Caenorhabditis elegans: one gene and its partner. The protein of the gene in region 2 purifies or fractionates together with the protein of the main gene of each other region. This does not show direct contact. Each region holds a gene or a part of one and is shown on either strand. Other genes may lie near its edges.

Region 1 (6,541 bases), on a different chromosome or scaffold from region 2:
ATGAAAACAAAAACGTCGATTTTAGATAAAAAATACAGCTGAAATGAAAAAAAATTGGCCTAAATTGAAGAAAAGGCAAAATTTTCGCGCGTGTACAAGGAAAGACGCGTGCACCGCAGCAGCTGGTGGGTACTGTCACGAATTAACATATTACTGTAGGTCAAGCAAGCCTAGAAATGTGTGAATTTTGTTCGGAAGTGTCGATTTTTCAATTAGAAATCATGTTTGGCATAAGAAAATGAATAAATAAATTTTTATATTTCATTTGAATTCTAGAAACATCTTTATAAAAGTTAATTTCATGAAATACGTACTGATTGTGATAGACAAAATATTTATTTCAAATAAAATCAAAAGTTATCAAGCAAAAAAAATTAGAAAATAACAATAAAATTGGACGATTGATTTCCTCAGTATTACCTGAAATGAGTTTTTAGCTTTGTAGTATACTTAGATTTTATTTAAATCACAAATCTATGAAGATTATTTAATTTTCCTGTATAGTCGCCAATTCTTGTTCTCAATCTTTGATGGCATCAAATATTTTCAAGAAAGAACGTCGCCCAGACCGAGAAAAAAACATAAAAACTATCCCAATCACAAATTTGCAAAGTTTTTCGGCAAAGAAATTAGTGACGCTGCGAGTTTCACTCAAAGTCACAAAATTGAAATCGAATAAAAGAGGATTGGAAAAAATAAAATACTTCAGTTACCATAATGAGTAAATTACTTCTACTTGTACTTTCTCTTCTCTTTTTTATTACATCAGCTTTTCCATTCGGAGAACCACAAGCGGGAGGATTTCAAAAATTTAAGAACTTACTTCCAAGGGAGCTTGTGGAGGCCTACAGTAACCTGAGTCAAAAAGATCAACCTGATCTGAAAGATGTATTCCGTAATCATCAAAACTACCGAAATGAACAAGAAATGGTTAATGCTTTGAAAATGAAAAATCCAGCACTCGGAGCCCGAATGGAACGGAGATTGATGGCTTTGAAGCAGAAAATCGATGGATTGAGTAGCGAAGAAGCGAAAGGATTTATTCAGAATTTGATTTCAACTGGAAGACAAATTTATGCTCAACGGCTTAATGGACAACAAATGGATCAGTCACAATTGAGACAAGTTGGAATGGGGTATGATTATTTACATTCAGTAGAAAAATATTGTTTCTCTGTCTAAACAGTAAGACAGTTTCTTACCGAGTAAGGCATTTTTATCAGCTTAAAAATCAAATGGTAATTCTACGAGGCATTGCAATAGCCTACCTACCTTCTACTTATTTCACTGCGAAGTTATTGTTGTCTGTACTTATGAGATTTAAGATCTTCTCGATAATTTCCTTATTTAGAGTAATATGTTGACCCTTCATGTTTTCCTGGATAGGCCAGACAGGGGAACGTAGCTTTGGAGACTGGTAGAAAATTTTGTGTATGCGCTGAAAGTTTAGTCCAAATTGTATAAAGCTCTTCAATTGACTTTAATGTCGGCAAAGTCCGTGATTCTGATATCTGCTGAAAGTTATGTGTTTCAACGAAAAATCCAAACTTTCATATGAGTGATAGTTTTCATCTTATTGTTTTCCAGCTTAACAACGTATGTATTACAACAATTGTGTTCAATTCACTAATTCCAAATCCCAAGTTTAAATATTCAGAATTGCAATGCACTATCGATCATTACCTCCATATGCACAACAGGAACTTCAAAGTACTTTTCCACAAATCTTCCAATTCATGAGACAAATGCGTGAACAACGTCTTCGAAGCATGATGGGCGGATTCTTTGGCGGCGGAGGTGGAATCGGAATGGGACAAGGCATGGGACAAGGCATGGGAATGGGTATGGGAAAATAAGTGAATTAATAATCTTATTGTGATAAGTATGTACATATTTTATACTGCATGTTGTTGTATTATTTTTAAATAAAACATTTCCATAAACCACAACAACATCTAAATTTGTTCACCTCTAAAGGAAAACGAAGATCGTTCTATCAGGCTGTCAAAAGATCAACCAACATTTTTTTAATTGTGTAGCCTGCTGTCCAAATTGAGAGATTGCTGTTTTCCAAGAAATTAATATTTTCCAGACAGTCGGAAGATGAATTGATCTTATAGATTTCAGAAGATCGTGACAAATTTAGGAAAAGTGAAGCTGCAGTTGAATTAATCATAACTGCTGAAAAAAGGTCATAAAACTAGGATCACCTATTTCCAACTACCTCGGCTCTCTCAACTGTGAATTTTGTAACAAATTTTCAGCTAAAACGGATTCCAAATGTGTTCATCTAGATTATAATCTGAAAATATACTGAATGGTGTAACTTTAGAGAATATAAATGTTTTGCAGCGTCGGGTTATGACATCGGGTTAACAGAACGATCATATTCCAAAACTTCATATAAAAATCCACATTGAGACACCAAAAATAAGTAAACATCACTTGTTTACCTTTCACATCATTAAAGTTGTAGTTACTGTGATAAAAGTTTCTTCAAACTCTAAAGATTGTTTTTCCTATGAAACAGAAGATGAATAGCATCCAAGGTTACACTCAAAAACATAAACAAATAGATTTTCTAACCTCGTCTTGATGATCTCTTATGCTAAACACCACAACAACAACGCCGTCTGATTGTCCTTGATAATCGAACGAATCATCTGAAGACCAACATAGGTTTGCAAGGAACAATGTCCAGACCACACGGAGGCTACAACAGTTATGGCGCCTTCTCCACGAATTGACATCATCTTTGGCGAAAATAGTATGGAAGAATTGAACCGCCCATTTAACAAATCACAAAATTTTAGTATAAATAGACATGAATTCGAATTAAAGAGCAACATCAACAATGTCTCGTCTTTTCGCTTTCAACGTTTTCTGCTTGGTTCTTCTCCGTTTCTCAGCTGCTGCTCCAGCTGATGATTCTTCTCCATTCTCTCAAATTTTGAAGCAACACAAAGATCTCCTTCCATCCGAAGTTGTTCAAGCCTATCAGGATTTGTCTCCAGAAGAGAAGGCTGCATTGAAGGATGTATTCAAGAACTACAAGAGCTACAAAAACGAAGGAGAATTGATTGCTGCTCTCAAAGAAAAGTCTTCAAGCTTGGGAGAAAAGGCTGAGAAGCTTCAAGCTAAGCTCCAAAAGAAGGTTGATGCATTGAGCCCAAAACCAAAGGATTTTGTTAACGAGCTCATTGCTGGAGGACGTGGTCTTTATGCTCGTTCTGTTAATGGAGAGAAGATCTCAGTTTCCGAGATCAAGCTTCTCATTGAAACGTAGGTTTTATCGAAGAAATTTGTGTATTAATAAAAATATATTTATCATCCTCGGTATTTCAGCCAAGTTGCTGCATACAAGGCATTGCCAGCTGAGGCTCAAGACGAGTTGAAGAAAAATTTCGGAGGAGTCGCCAAGTTTTTGGAGGATGACAAGACTCAAACACTCATTGCCAAGCTTCTTGAGAAGAACAATAACCAGTAAATAAAATTACTAATGTCACAAAATTGTATCTATAGACCGTAATAAATTTGAGGATTTTTTTATTATTATGAAACCCAAAACATAAACCACAGTATTTATTCATTGCTATCATATCACAACAATTTATCAATCTCAGTCTTGATCTTGTCGTTTGAAGCGAATTTGTAGAGACCGAGGAATGTTTTTTCAAGTTCTTCCTTTGTAGCATCCGATAGTGATTTGAACGAAGTAAATTGTCTGAAATTTTGCATATGTTAGAGGGGGCACATTTTATTTGTTGAATATATCTATTCTACAAATATGTGTGTTTTGTTATTAACATTATAAATTTAAAGATGGAATTGCTTCAACAAAAATTTTTTCCAAATATCATATAATGATTCAAAATGGCAAGAAAACTCTTAAATTTTTTAGATGCAGAGCATTTCCAAATTTACGAAAGGTTTTTAAAGAAACTTAGAGCAATTTCATATGTTCAAACCACTCCCGTGTTAAAAGCCATACAATTGAATTTAAAAAAGTATAAAATTCGTACTATTAGGAAAAAACCTTTTTTTGGCTGACATTTCAAATTTTTAACTGCAAAAACATAGTAATTTTTGAAAAGTTTAGCACTATAGATGTAGTTTGAAAAATCTTCTCCATTGTTGCTACTCGATATTTACCAACATTTCAAAGTCTCTGAATAAATTTTTAAATTCACAAAAACTTTAAGAGTGTACAAAATAGTATTTTCAAACTTTATAGAATTTGCAAAGAAGCTGTGAATTTAAATATTTTTAAACTCAAAAAAAAACAGTTTCTACATTTTTCATTGTCATCAAAGTTGGTGGAAAACGAATTAACTTACTTTGCAAATACAGGTAGGACTTCTTTAGAATCTAATGGAATTCCAACAATTTGTGCAGTATAAATTGCTCTGCCAATTCCTAACATTTCAGTTACAAATTTCTTTGTTTCCGGTGTTAATGCCTGAATTTCAGCGTCAATTTCAATGTAAAGTTTCTCGAAAAACGATCCAAGTGATTCCGATTTCTTCTTGATTGCAACAATCAGATCAGCAATACTTGTAAATTTATCATAATTCATGAATACTTCTTTCATAATAGCACTTTCCCCTGGACTCAAATTATCAAAAGCCGCAACAACTTTTGGTGGAAGAGCATCTTTATAGCTCTCAATAACAGCTTCAAATATTCCATCAGCAGCAAATGAGAAATGAAAAATTAATAAAATAGCAAAGAAACGGAGTAACATCTTGATACTGACCAGACGAATCAATACTTTAAAACAATTGAAGATGTTGAATGTAGGGCGGTTGTTGTGTTTTATGACTGTTTATCGAAAGACAAAAGGTCACTCAGTCATCAATACTTCCTTTTTTGTCACTTGGATTTATGTTTTATCAATTTATATGTTTCCCTTACAAATTGTATTTATCACAGATTTTCCTGATATGCTACAACTTGTTAAACTTTATTCAGTTTCTGAAATAAGTAGCACCGTTCTGCCGGTTATTTAAAAAACCAAACAAAAATTATTTACTTAAAAACCGGATTTATGAAACATTCAAATGTGGTTTAGTGTTCAATGTTCTTGCTATTTGAAATACAAAGCAAACCAAATGATTTTATATTTAATGGTAAAATAAAGAGAAAAATACACTAAAAACTGTAATATAGATTTCAACAGAGCCGCACGTCAAGTCAAATTAATTAGCTGGTTTTTAGAAACTTATTGAATGTTCTCGTATAAATTTTATCAAAATGATATTGGAAGGGATTTATTTGAAAATTGAAACAGAAAGGAAGTCTTCATTGAAAATTATTACTTTATTCTGCCTTCGCAAAGTTTCGTAAAAGATTTTTCCATCTTAATCTCAAAAAAAGTCTCCATAAATAACCTGACCCGTATATTTGTTTTTGTCACATTGAAATCAAGAAGATACATTTGAAGAAGGTGGACAAAGCCAAGTCGCAACACCTTTTTCGTGTTTGACAAGCTCCCGAGCAACTGTATGCGGTTCTACTTGACCGAAATATCCACTCACGAACATTCATTTTTGATACTTTATTAGCTATTGATTTGAAAAAACTATACAAATAATTATCAATAAAAACCATGTTAAATAAAAGAAAAACTGGAAGGAAGAAGAATACACGTGTGGGAGATGCTTCAAAGTAAACGAAAAAGTATAATATTTTAGAAATTACATTAAAAAAAACCTCACAGAATTTTCAGTTTTTAAAACCCTATATTACGACTGTGAATTTAGTCTAACAGGTCGCCCCTTTGGGAAATATGGTGTGGATATTGGTTTAGTTGGATGAAATGAAAGAGTTACTGGATCAAATATAATTGTGTTTTTCTGCTTCTTAGGTGCTCGAAGAGCTTTTCCATTTAGTGCACCTTGTTGCAAAACATGAAAAGACGGTGCGACATGTTTTGAATAAATATCCATTTTATCATCGTACAATTGATTTTTAACGGAAACATTTGCCAAATCATGGAATCGAGCAGTTGATTCAAAAAGGCGAGTTGAGATTTTCGGCTCAAAAATTTTCATTTGTTTCTCACAAGCAGCTCCTTCAAATCCATTCAGACACTCACAGATTGGAAAATCTGCGGTTAATTTCGAATCAAACGAATTCACACATTTTCCGCCATTCATGCATTTACAGATTCCACTATCAATTGGAAGTTCAATATCACATTTTGATCCACGGACTCCAATTGGACAACCAATATTTCCAAGGATATTACATCTTCGACCCATTGATCTTGCTTGCTCCTCATCACAGAAATGTTCACAGTGGGCTCCGAAATAGTTTCTAAGAAAATTATAATTAAGTTTTGAAAAATCACTATAAATTTCTATTTACTTACGTATCACATTTTATATCGATTCGAAATCCACTGAATGGAAGTCCAGCTTTTGGAGGCACTATTGACATTTTTCGAGTGGAAAATATTTTTGGACTAACTACAAAATCGGTTAATCCAATTTCCTTCACAGGACCGCTTCTTATTATGATACTTGCAGGTTGATCGAAT
Region 2 (8,655 bases):
GTGGGACGCAATCGGGCGTCATTTCTTATGTTTGCACTGGGGAAATGTTCGTTTTTACTTGTCTTTTTGCATGTATTCTGCAGAAATTATCAATCAAAACAATAATTTTTCGAAATTTGAGCATTTCATATTTGTTTTTTAAAGCCAATATATTACAATTGAACAACTTCTTTAAAGGAAAAACCAAGATTTTTTATTACTAAGTAGCAAAAAAGTATAATATATTTTAAAGCAAATAAAAAAAAATTCTCATTATTATATTCCTTCGTTGTCAACTTATCAGCTCCGTTGTTTTTACATCATCGAAAAAAGATAAGATAAGTCATTTCAGGGGGTGCAAACTTGATGGCAACACAGAAGAAATCGTCACTTTCGAGTTGTCGAGGCAAGGATTTAAGCAAGATGACGGATTTGAGCAAGTTGTATAAAAAGGTTGGAAATTTTTGGAAAAATACCAAAAAATCTTGAGACCTCTGACCAGGGGTGCGCGGCAATTGCCGACCAGTTATTCTAGAAAATGAGACGGTTGGACATGTTCCCCCGATATTTTTTATTAAAGTGTGATGTTACCATGTAGAAGAATATGTATTTACTTTATTTGACTTGGAACAACCGATAAAGTGTTCAAAAAATTGTCCGAATTTTAAAAATTTCTGGCGGAAATTGCCGTAAAGTTTTCGGCAATTTTCAACATTCAGATTATTTTTCAAGATTTTTCCAATTTTTTCTACTAAAGCAACAGTTATTTTCGAATAAAGCGAATATTTTTCTATATTTTATCATTAAAGTTTAATGAAACATATCGGGGGAACATGCCCAACCGTTTCATTTTGTAGCATTTCCGGCCGGCAATTTCCGCGCACCCCTGCTTCTGATACAAGATTGGCTCCAAGAAATGTCAAATCAATCAATAAAGAAAAAAGTAAAATAATGGACATTCGAACGTATCATTATCAAAAACGGGTCGACTCGCACCCTCTCGGGAGGGCAAGCCCTCCATTATCACTCATTCTCGATACATTTAATCATTGTTCTTCCCAACACACACACTTTTCACCTTTTTTCTTGGAAGTATTGATTCATTTTTGATTTTTCCACTAAATTTCTCGGAATAACTTTCGAATTAGTTCGAAAATTGTTAATTCCAGGTCGAACGGATAAGTAAACGAATTTTCCACAGTGAGAAGCCTCAATCGACCTTTGTTCCTTCTGCTCAACAGACCAATTCTGCTCAAAGTACTAGTTCAAGTAGTACTACCGATCCACAAATGCCTCATCAACCAGTGCTTCTGAATCCTCCGTATCCTCCGGTTCATCCTGGATTTGGAACCGGGTTTCCACAGTTCTCATATCCACAACATCAGCAGCAAATACCAAGTGAGAATTGATTTTTTTTCATAAAAAACCGAATCCCTTCGGAAAGCTTACAAAAATCAAATTCAAGCATTTTCGAAGATCCAGCAACCTTTTTATAAATACAAATTCACTTTCTAACAGCTATTTTGTAAATTATTTAGAGTCTATCAGAAAAAATGCAGATGACTGAATATACTGTCAACTGCTCTTTTGAATTTCCCGTTTCTCTAAATAATATAAAAAACAACAAAGGATAATCTAGATAAACTTGTCTTCTTCTTCTTTTCAACCATAAACAAACGATTATCCTCTTTTATTGTATATAAATAATATAATTTTTGCAGATCCACCATATGGTTGGGCTCTAAATGCAGCAGCTCTACCTCCGTATCCATCATCTACTGCCTCATCATCTTCAGCTTCACAAACTCCATCATTTGCTCCTCTAAGCCTTGATACTGGATCTGGAAATGAGACGGCTGGTAGTGGATTCGATCATTTAGCCGTTCATCACGATGATAATCACGATGAAAGAGACTATTTGATACCAGATCAACATGAAATTATTGAGCTCCGGAAAGGTAGAAATATAAAAATGATTCTCAGGACCTGGTCTCGACACGAATATAGTTTTTTTTCGTAGATTCTTCCATCAAGTTTTATGAGAAAAAATCGAAAAAAAAATAGTGTATAAAATGTTTCGTAATTCATTTCGTCCGTGTGTTTGGGTATTTTTTGGGAGCAAAGCCGAAAACTAAAAAAACGACAAATCTGTTCTCAATTTATTTTTTTCAGCTCAATCGGCTAAACTGGAGCAAGGAAAACAACGGGTAATCAACGAGGTGACATCACTAAATCTAATCACAAATGACGTCACTGAGCTCAAAAAATGGTTTGATGCAAAATATCCACATACACTGGTTAACGATGCCGCGACGAATGAAGAAGAATTGGAGAGAACTGTTCGAAAATTGGAAGAAAAATTAAAAAGGTTGAGAGCAAAAAGTGCAAAAGGAGTTCCACCTCCAAGTGAGTGCTAATCATGGATGAAAGCTCATTATTTTTTGGGAATTCTACGAAATGACCTATGTTCTTTTGCACCATGTTCTTTCAACATTTTTCATTGAAAAATAGTCTCAAAATATAAAAAATCACTTGATTTACCAGAAAATAAAAATCTTTTCAACTGAAATATTGGAGAAAGTGCTCAAAAACTACCTGAAAGTTGCCAATCCCGAGCACTTTCTCCAATATTTCAGTTGAAAAGATTATTATTTTCTGATAAATTAAGTGATTTTCTATATTTTCACACCAATTTTCAATGAAAAACGTGATAGGCCATTTTTAGAATTTCCAAAAAAAATTGTCGCCTGCTGCCAATCTTTTTGTAAAATCTCCGAAATACCATTGTCTAGCAATCGACCTAAATTTCCAATTCCTGTTTCAGGACCGCCACCACCTCGTTCAATCAGTCAGGAGAACAGTACGGGTCCATGGATTTGTGATCGTTGTTCCAGAGAGAATAACTCCAATTCGTATCGCTGTCATCATTGTCAGCTCCCCAGTCGTCGATTTGATCCATCGGAAATTGATTTTTGTGGTTGTGAGTATTGTTCCACAGCTAATTCCACTGCCTAAACAGCTTCGATATTGATCGAACAGTCATTTTGCTTCGGAAATTCGGATTTTTTCGCTCTAAAATGACAGGAAAAGTCTAACAATTACAATTATAACTGTTTTAAAAAAATCCAAAAATTTTTTGGAAAAATTGAAAAAAAATCATAATAAATTTAGGAAAATTCTATAAATTTTTTACCGTTATATTCTGTGTCTTCAGACTATATTCTGTCAAATTTTACAAAAAAACCCATTATTCCGCCTGTAACCTTAAAAAAATGCAAAGGTCAATATCGAATCATGTTCTAATGTAATAATAGTTTTTAACCGAAGGTTGTGTTTTTATTGTATATATATTTTTTCTTGATTTTTCTTGATTTTGTGTTCAAACTTTTCTTATTTTTCAATGAAATCCTCGATTTTTGAATTTTATTTATTTTTTCTGATTTTTTTCACGACTTCCTTGTAAGCTCCGTGGCAGCTTCATATTCTAATATCTATCATTTTGTTTCCATTTTCTATTGATTTTAAATTAAAATTGTCAGCACACAGAAAATGCTGGCATTCTTCAGAAGGTTCATGTCAACGACTACTGTAACTGCTCAACCAGTGCTCCCGTGGTTCAGAAATGTGCCGCTAGCGCCTGCTGATCCAATTCTAGGAGTTACTGAAGCATTCAAGAAGGATACGAATCCGAATAAGATTAATTTAGGAGTTGGAGCATATCGTGATGATCAGGTAAGGGGGAAATGCTCAGAATTTTTTATTCTAGAATTAAAAAAAAAAAAGTTTTGAAACGAGTGGCCGGAATTTCAGGGCTGCAATTAAATAATTAAATAAATTGTAATTTCGGACCAAAAATTAATTGAAACCGGTGATAAAACCAAAAAAGCATTAAAAAGAAAAATATTTATTAAATATGAATAGTATTCGAAAAAATTATTAAAGACCTAAAAAAACCCACATTTTTCTATTTTTCACAAAAAAAAAGTGGTTAAAGTGAAAAAAGTTAGTTTTTTGAATTTTTTGGTGTTAAAATACGATTTTCGTTAATATTCTAACAAAAAACCCAAAAAAATGGCCGCGGCAATAATGGCTAATTGTCGAAAATTTTAAAACTCGGCAATTGTCGAAAGTGTCGGTTGCGGAATTTTGGAAAATTCTGCCAAAAATCCAATTTTCATCATGAGAATTAGGGTCTGGGACCAAGAAAAAAAAATTAAAATTTGCGAAAACCCAAAAAAAAATGATGCTTGAATTAATTTTTTTTAAACCGTTAAAAAGTGAACAATTTTTGGTTTTTTAGTTCTAAAACACCAAAAAATCAATTTTTCGTCGATTAACCAAATAAACCAAATAAAATACCAAAAGTGTCACAGCCCTGATGAAAATAAGTTGGAAAAATTATATTTCTTCACCAAAAACACTTACTACAGTGAAAATTAGTTTTTTGCAAAATTTTTTGAGTTTTTTTTTTCAAAATTTTTGAACTCGATTCATGTCGATGTCCAAAAATTTTTGATTGCCGTCTCACCCTCGATTTAATATTCAAATTATTGTAATTTTCTATTTTCAGGGAAAACCATTCGTGCTCCGAGCGGTCCGCGAAGCTGAGCAGCAAATTATAGATGCTAAAATGGACAAAGAGTACTCAACAATCACTGGAGTTCCAGAATTTGCGCCATTGGCTGCGAAACTCGCTTTCGGCGACAATTCCGAAGTGATTCGCGATGGAAGAGTCTTCACAACTCAATCGATATCCGGAACTGGTGCTTTGAGAATTGGAGGACAATTTGTGGAAAAGTTTATTCCATCCAAGACTTTGTTTTATCCAACACCAACTTGGGCTAATCATTTGCCAGTTTTTAGGTAAATTTTTTAAAATTTTATTTTTATTTTTCGGAAATCATATTTTTTAAAAATTTAAATCTATTTTTTTTAATCGAAAAGTCGAAAAACGAAAATTTTTCGATTTTCGGGAAAACAAAAAATCGAAAAAAAATTGAAAATTAACAAGAATTTGCAGCTTTTAATTTTAAAAACTTGTAGCTAAATAGTTTTCGAAAAAAATGTTTTTTTTTGTTTTTAGATTTTCCAAAGAAGCTACACTCTTATCGAGGAAAAAAATCGGGTTTTTTTGAAGAGAAAATCGAAGAACCATACTTTTCGATTTTTTGATTTTCCGTAAAGCAAAAAATCAAAATTTCCATGCACTTGTTGTATTTTTTCCCCTGTTAATTTCTGTTTCTGTTGCTTGTTGTCCACTTCTCACCCTCACCTCCTCTATTCAGAAATTCTGGTCTTTCGATTCAACCATACCGTTACTACAATCAAGAAACTCTTGGATTTGATGTTGAAGGAGCTCTCGAAGATATTTCAAAGATGCCAGAAGGATCTGTTATACTTTTGCATGCTTGTGCACATAACCCAACTGGTGTTGATCCTACTGTATGTTGCTTTGTTGTGATGTTTTGTTTTGTTATTATTTCGGGCCAAAAATACGGTACCCGGTCTCGCCACGAGATTCGTTTTGTTACATGCGAAAAGATGTGCGCTTTTAAAGAGTACTGTAATCTCAAACTTTAGTCGCTTTGGAATTTTCAAATATTTTTCTTTTTTGCCATTAAAAAAAATGTATTTATTGAAAAAAGCGAACAAAAAATAGAAGCACTAAATGCTTAACAAATCTTCAGAAAAAGTATTAAAAATTCATTAAAATGCGAACGAAAGTTTAAAATTACAGTACTATCCAAAGACGCATACCTTTTCGCATTTAACAAAAAAAAATTTCGTGTCAAGACCAAGTACCGTATTTTTAGCGCGAAATTTCGAGTGCTAAAAAACTTATTTTGTGACGAGATACCGTAATCTCACCTAATATTTTATTTTGCACTGTAGATATTGTGAAGATAACTAACTTAAAACAAAAATAATAGTTTTTAAATTGAAGACTCAATAAAACTTTTCAAAACTCATTGAATTTTCAGAAGGAGCAATGGAAAAAGCTGAGCCAAGTGCTGAAAGAACGAAAAATTCTTCCATTCTTCGATATGGCTTATCAAGGATTTGCATCAGGAGACGTTGACGATGACGCATTTGCTCTTCGTCATTTCATAGAACAAGGACACAATGTTCTCGTTGCTCAATCATTTGCAAAAAATATGGGATTGTACGGAGAACGTGTTGGTGCATTTTCGATTGTTTGTGATTCTGCTGAAGAAGCGATTCGTGTTGGATCTCAAATGAGAATTATCATTCGTCCAATGATCTCAATGCCACCACTTCATGGAGCAAGAATTGCTTCACGGATTTTGAGTAATCCAGAGTTGAAGAAATCTTGGTAGGAGTTTCTGAGTTTGTGAAGTCAGAAATTTAAAGATCAGAAACTGAAAAAAATAATTTTGGACCAAAAAAAATGAGATTTGCGAAAAACCGGTTTCTAAGCGACTGATTTTCTAAAATTCCAAAGAGTGTGTGCCTTTAAAGAGTACTGTAGTTGCCGAAAATTTGCTTTTAAAAATATTTAAATAATGGGCAAATTAGCTATTTTTCAAAAAAATGGATCTTTTTTATTTTTGAAATATTGGAAAAACGAAATCTATAAAAATGATTATTTCAGGCTGGAAGATGTGAAACTAATGGCTGACCGTATCAAATCAATGCGTACGGCTCTAAAAGACGGCCTGAAAGCTGAAGGATCTACTCTCAACTGGGATCATATTACCAATCAAATTGGAATGTTTTGTTTCACTGGAATCAATGAGAAACAAGTTCAAAAGCTCATCAAAGAGCACTCAGTGTACTTGACAAATGATGGACGTATTTCTATTTCTGGTATTAATACTGGAAATGTTGCATATTTGGCTAAAGCTCTCCATGACGTCACCAAGTAATGATTTCTCTAAGTTCTCTACGTGTCTAAGTTTCTTTCCGGTTTTATTGAAATTCAGGTTTTGCTTTTTTAAAAAGTCTATAAAATGGTTTTTGGATTTTCTTTTTTCGTCAACATTTTTTCTTTCTTCTTTTGGGTTCACATTCCCATTATCTTATCTTTGATGTTTTTCTTCCTTTGTTTGTTTGTCTTTTTTTTTTTAATTTCAATCTGTTTTTTTATTTTTAGGCTTTAAATCAATTTTATTATTGGTGGGTGAAACTTGGAGTTTTTATAGTTTTGTAGTCAAATTTCTATTTCCAACAAAATTGAGAAAGTCTAAAAATTGTGGCCTTTATCCGTTTTTAATAAGATACGGAGCTCATTCAATGAGAAAATTTCAACTTCCTCCATTTTTCCATTATTTATATCAAAAATTGTTGTTTTTAGGGCTCCCGATCAAGAGTTTCACCAAAAAACTATTAAAACTAAAAAATATTTTTAAAAATCTAATTTTTCTTCCTTCCGACCAAAAATTGAAATTTTTTAAAGAGTTTTTAAGATCGAAAAACCAAAAAAAAATCCTTCTTTGCCCAAAAAAAAAAACGAACTTTTTCCTATTACTCAATTGCAGAATTTTGCGAGTTTCGACGCAACAACACGACACCTGGTCTTGGCACGATCGAAACCTTGCAGCTACAGTACCCACCAGCTTCACTTAATTGCAAAAACTATGCAGTTGTTGAACATGCGAGTACTGTAGCTGTGAAGTTTCAGTCGCTTCGAGACCCGGCACCGTATTTTTAAATTAACAATTGCTGGCGATTAGGTAATAACGCTTTTGCTAAAACCATCGGTGTCTTATCAAAAGTTAATAATTTTTTTCAAGAAAAGAACTGAAAATTGCCAAAATTTCTTTCTTTTTTCTAAACATTTTCATATTTTGTCCTTCTTCTGTGATGGTGTGATCACATAGTTTGATATTGACCACGAAACGTTGTTGTATTCTCAAAAAATTGATACGATTTTTTAGTGATAACAAATGATAAGAGTGTCCGTTTTTCTGACTGTATACTTCTAGTGCGTGGTTGTGTACGTCAAGATAAATACAATATACAAAGTGCCCTTTCATCATTATTTTTCATGTTTCATTATTTTAAAATCTCTTAATTTTCAGGTTCAAACTTTCAACAAGCTCTTCTCATCGTCTTCAAAATGACCCTCTCGGTAAGCTTCAAATTCCGATGTAGAAAATCCAAAATAATCTCAAATTCAGAATAATGACAACAACAGAAAGCAATAATTGTAAAACCGTGATTTTTCAATGTTGGCAAATTCCCTTCAAAATAGCGGAGGGAACTTAGTCAAAATTGAAAAAGAGACATTTTTATAATTTGGCGATTTTTTTCTGAATTTGAGACTACTTTAGATTTTTTGAAGCAAAATGTTGATATTTTCCCAATAAAATCTCACTAAGTCTTTTCAATTTTCAGTTCGACGACGCTGCTGCCACCGTTAAGACCCTCAAGACTTCCCCATCGAATGATGAGCTTCTCAAGCTCTATGCTCTGTTCAAACAAGGAACCGTCGGCGACAACACCACCGATAAGCCAGGAATGTTCGATTTGAAGGGAAAAGCCAAGTGGTCTGCCTGGGATGAGAAGAAGGGACTCGCAAAGGATGATGCTCAGAAGGCCTATGTTGCTCTTGTTGAGGAGCTCATCGCCAAGTACGGAGCCTAAATAAATTCTGTTTGATAATACGTTTTTTTAACATTTATATTTTTGTAATGAAGATTCTGTGATTCCGAA

The links.
Region 1: the proteins of got-2.1 (region 2) and far-5 fractionate together in Caenorhabditis elegans (co-fractionation; one large-scale study listed by BioGRID). This does not show direct contact.

What each region holds. Positions count from the first base shown.
Region 1 is NC_003283.11:12,993,826-13,000,366, reverse strand, and holds far-5 (Fatty-acid and retinol-binding protein 1), read right to left. Parts: upstream 4,799-6,541; 5' UTR 4,745-4,798; coding exon 4,338-4,744; intron 3,725-4,337; coding exon 3,601-3,724; 3' UTR 3,531-3,600; downstream 1-3,530. Other genes in the region: far-4 (DUF148 domain-containing protein), read left to right, coding at 718-1,136, 1,658-1,856; far-3 (Fatty-acid and retinol-binding protein 1), read left to right, coding at 2,855-3,282, 3,346-3,487; dsl-7 (Delta-like protein), read right to left, coding at 5,745-6,318, 6,374-6,541.
Region 2 is NC_003279.8:4,635,746-4,644,400, reverse strand, and holds got-2.1 (Aspartate aminotransferase), read left to right. Parts: upstream 1-3,518; 5' UTR 3,519-3,528; coding exon 3,529-3,711; intron 3,712-4,549; coding exon 4,550-4,842; intron 4,843-5,264; coding exon 5,265-5,421; intron 5,422-5,960; coding exon 5,961-6,313; intron 6,314-6,430; exon of another isoform or gene 6,431-6,568; intron 6,569-6,592; coding exon 6,593-6,866; 3' UTR 6,867-6,969; downstream 6,970-8,655. Other genes in the region: Y119C1A.1 (RanBP2-type domain-containing protein), read left to right, coding at 346-432, 1,149-1,377, 1,701-1,937, 2,152-2,385, 2,804-2,994; acbp-1 (Acyl-CoA-binding protein homolog 1), read left to right, coding at 8,060-8,071, 8,338-8,586.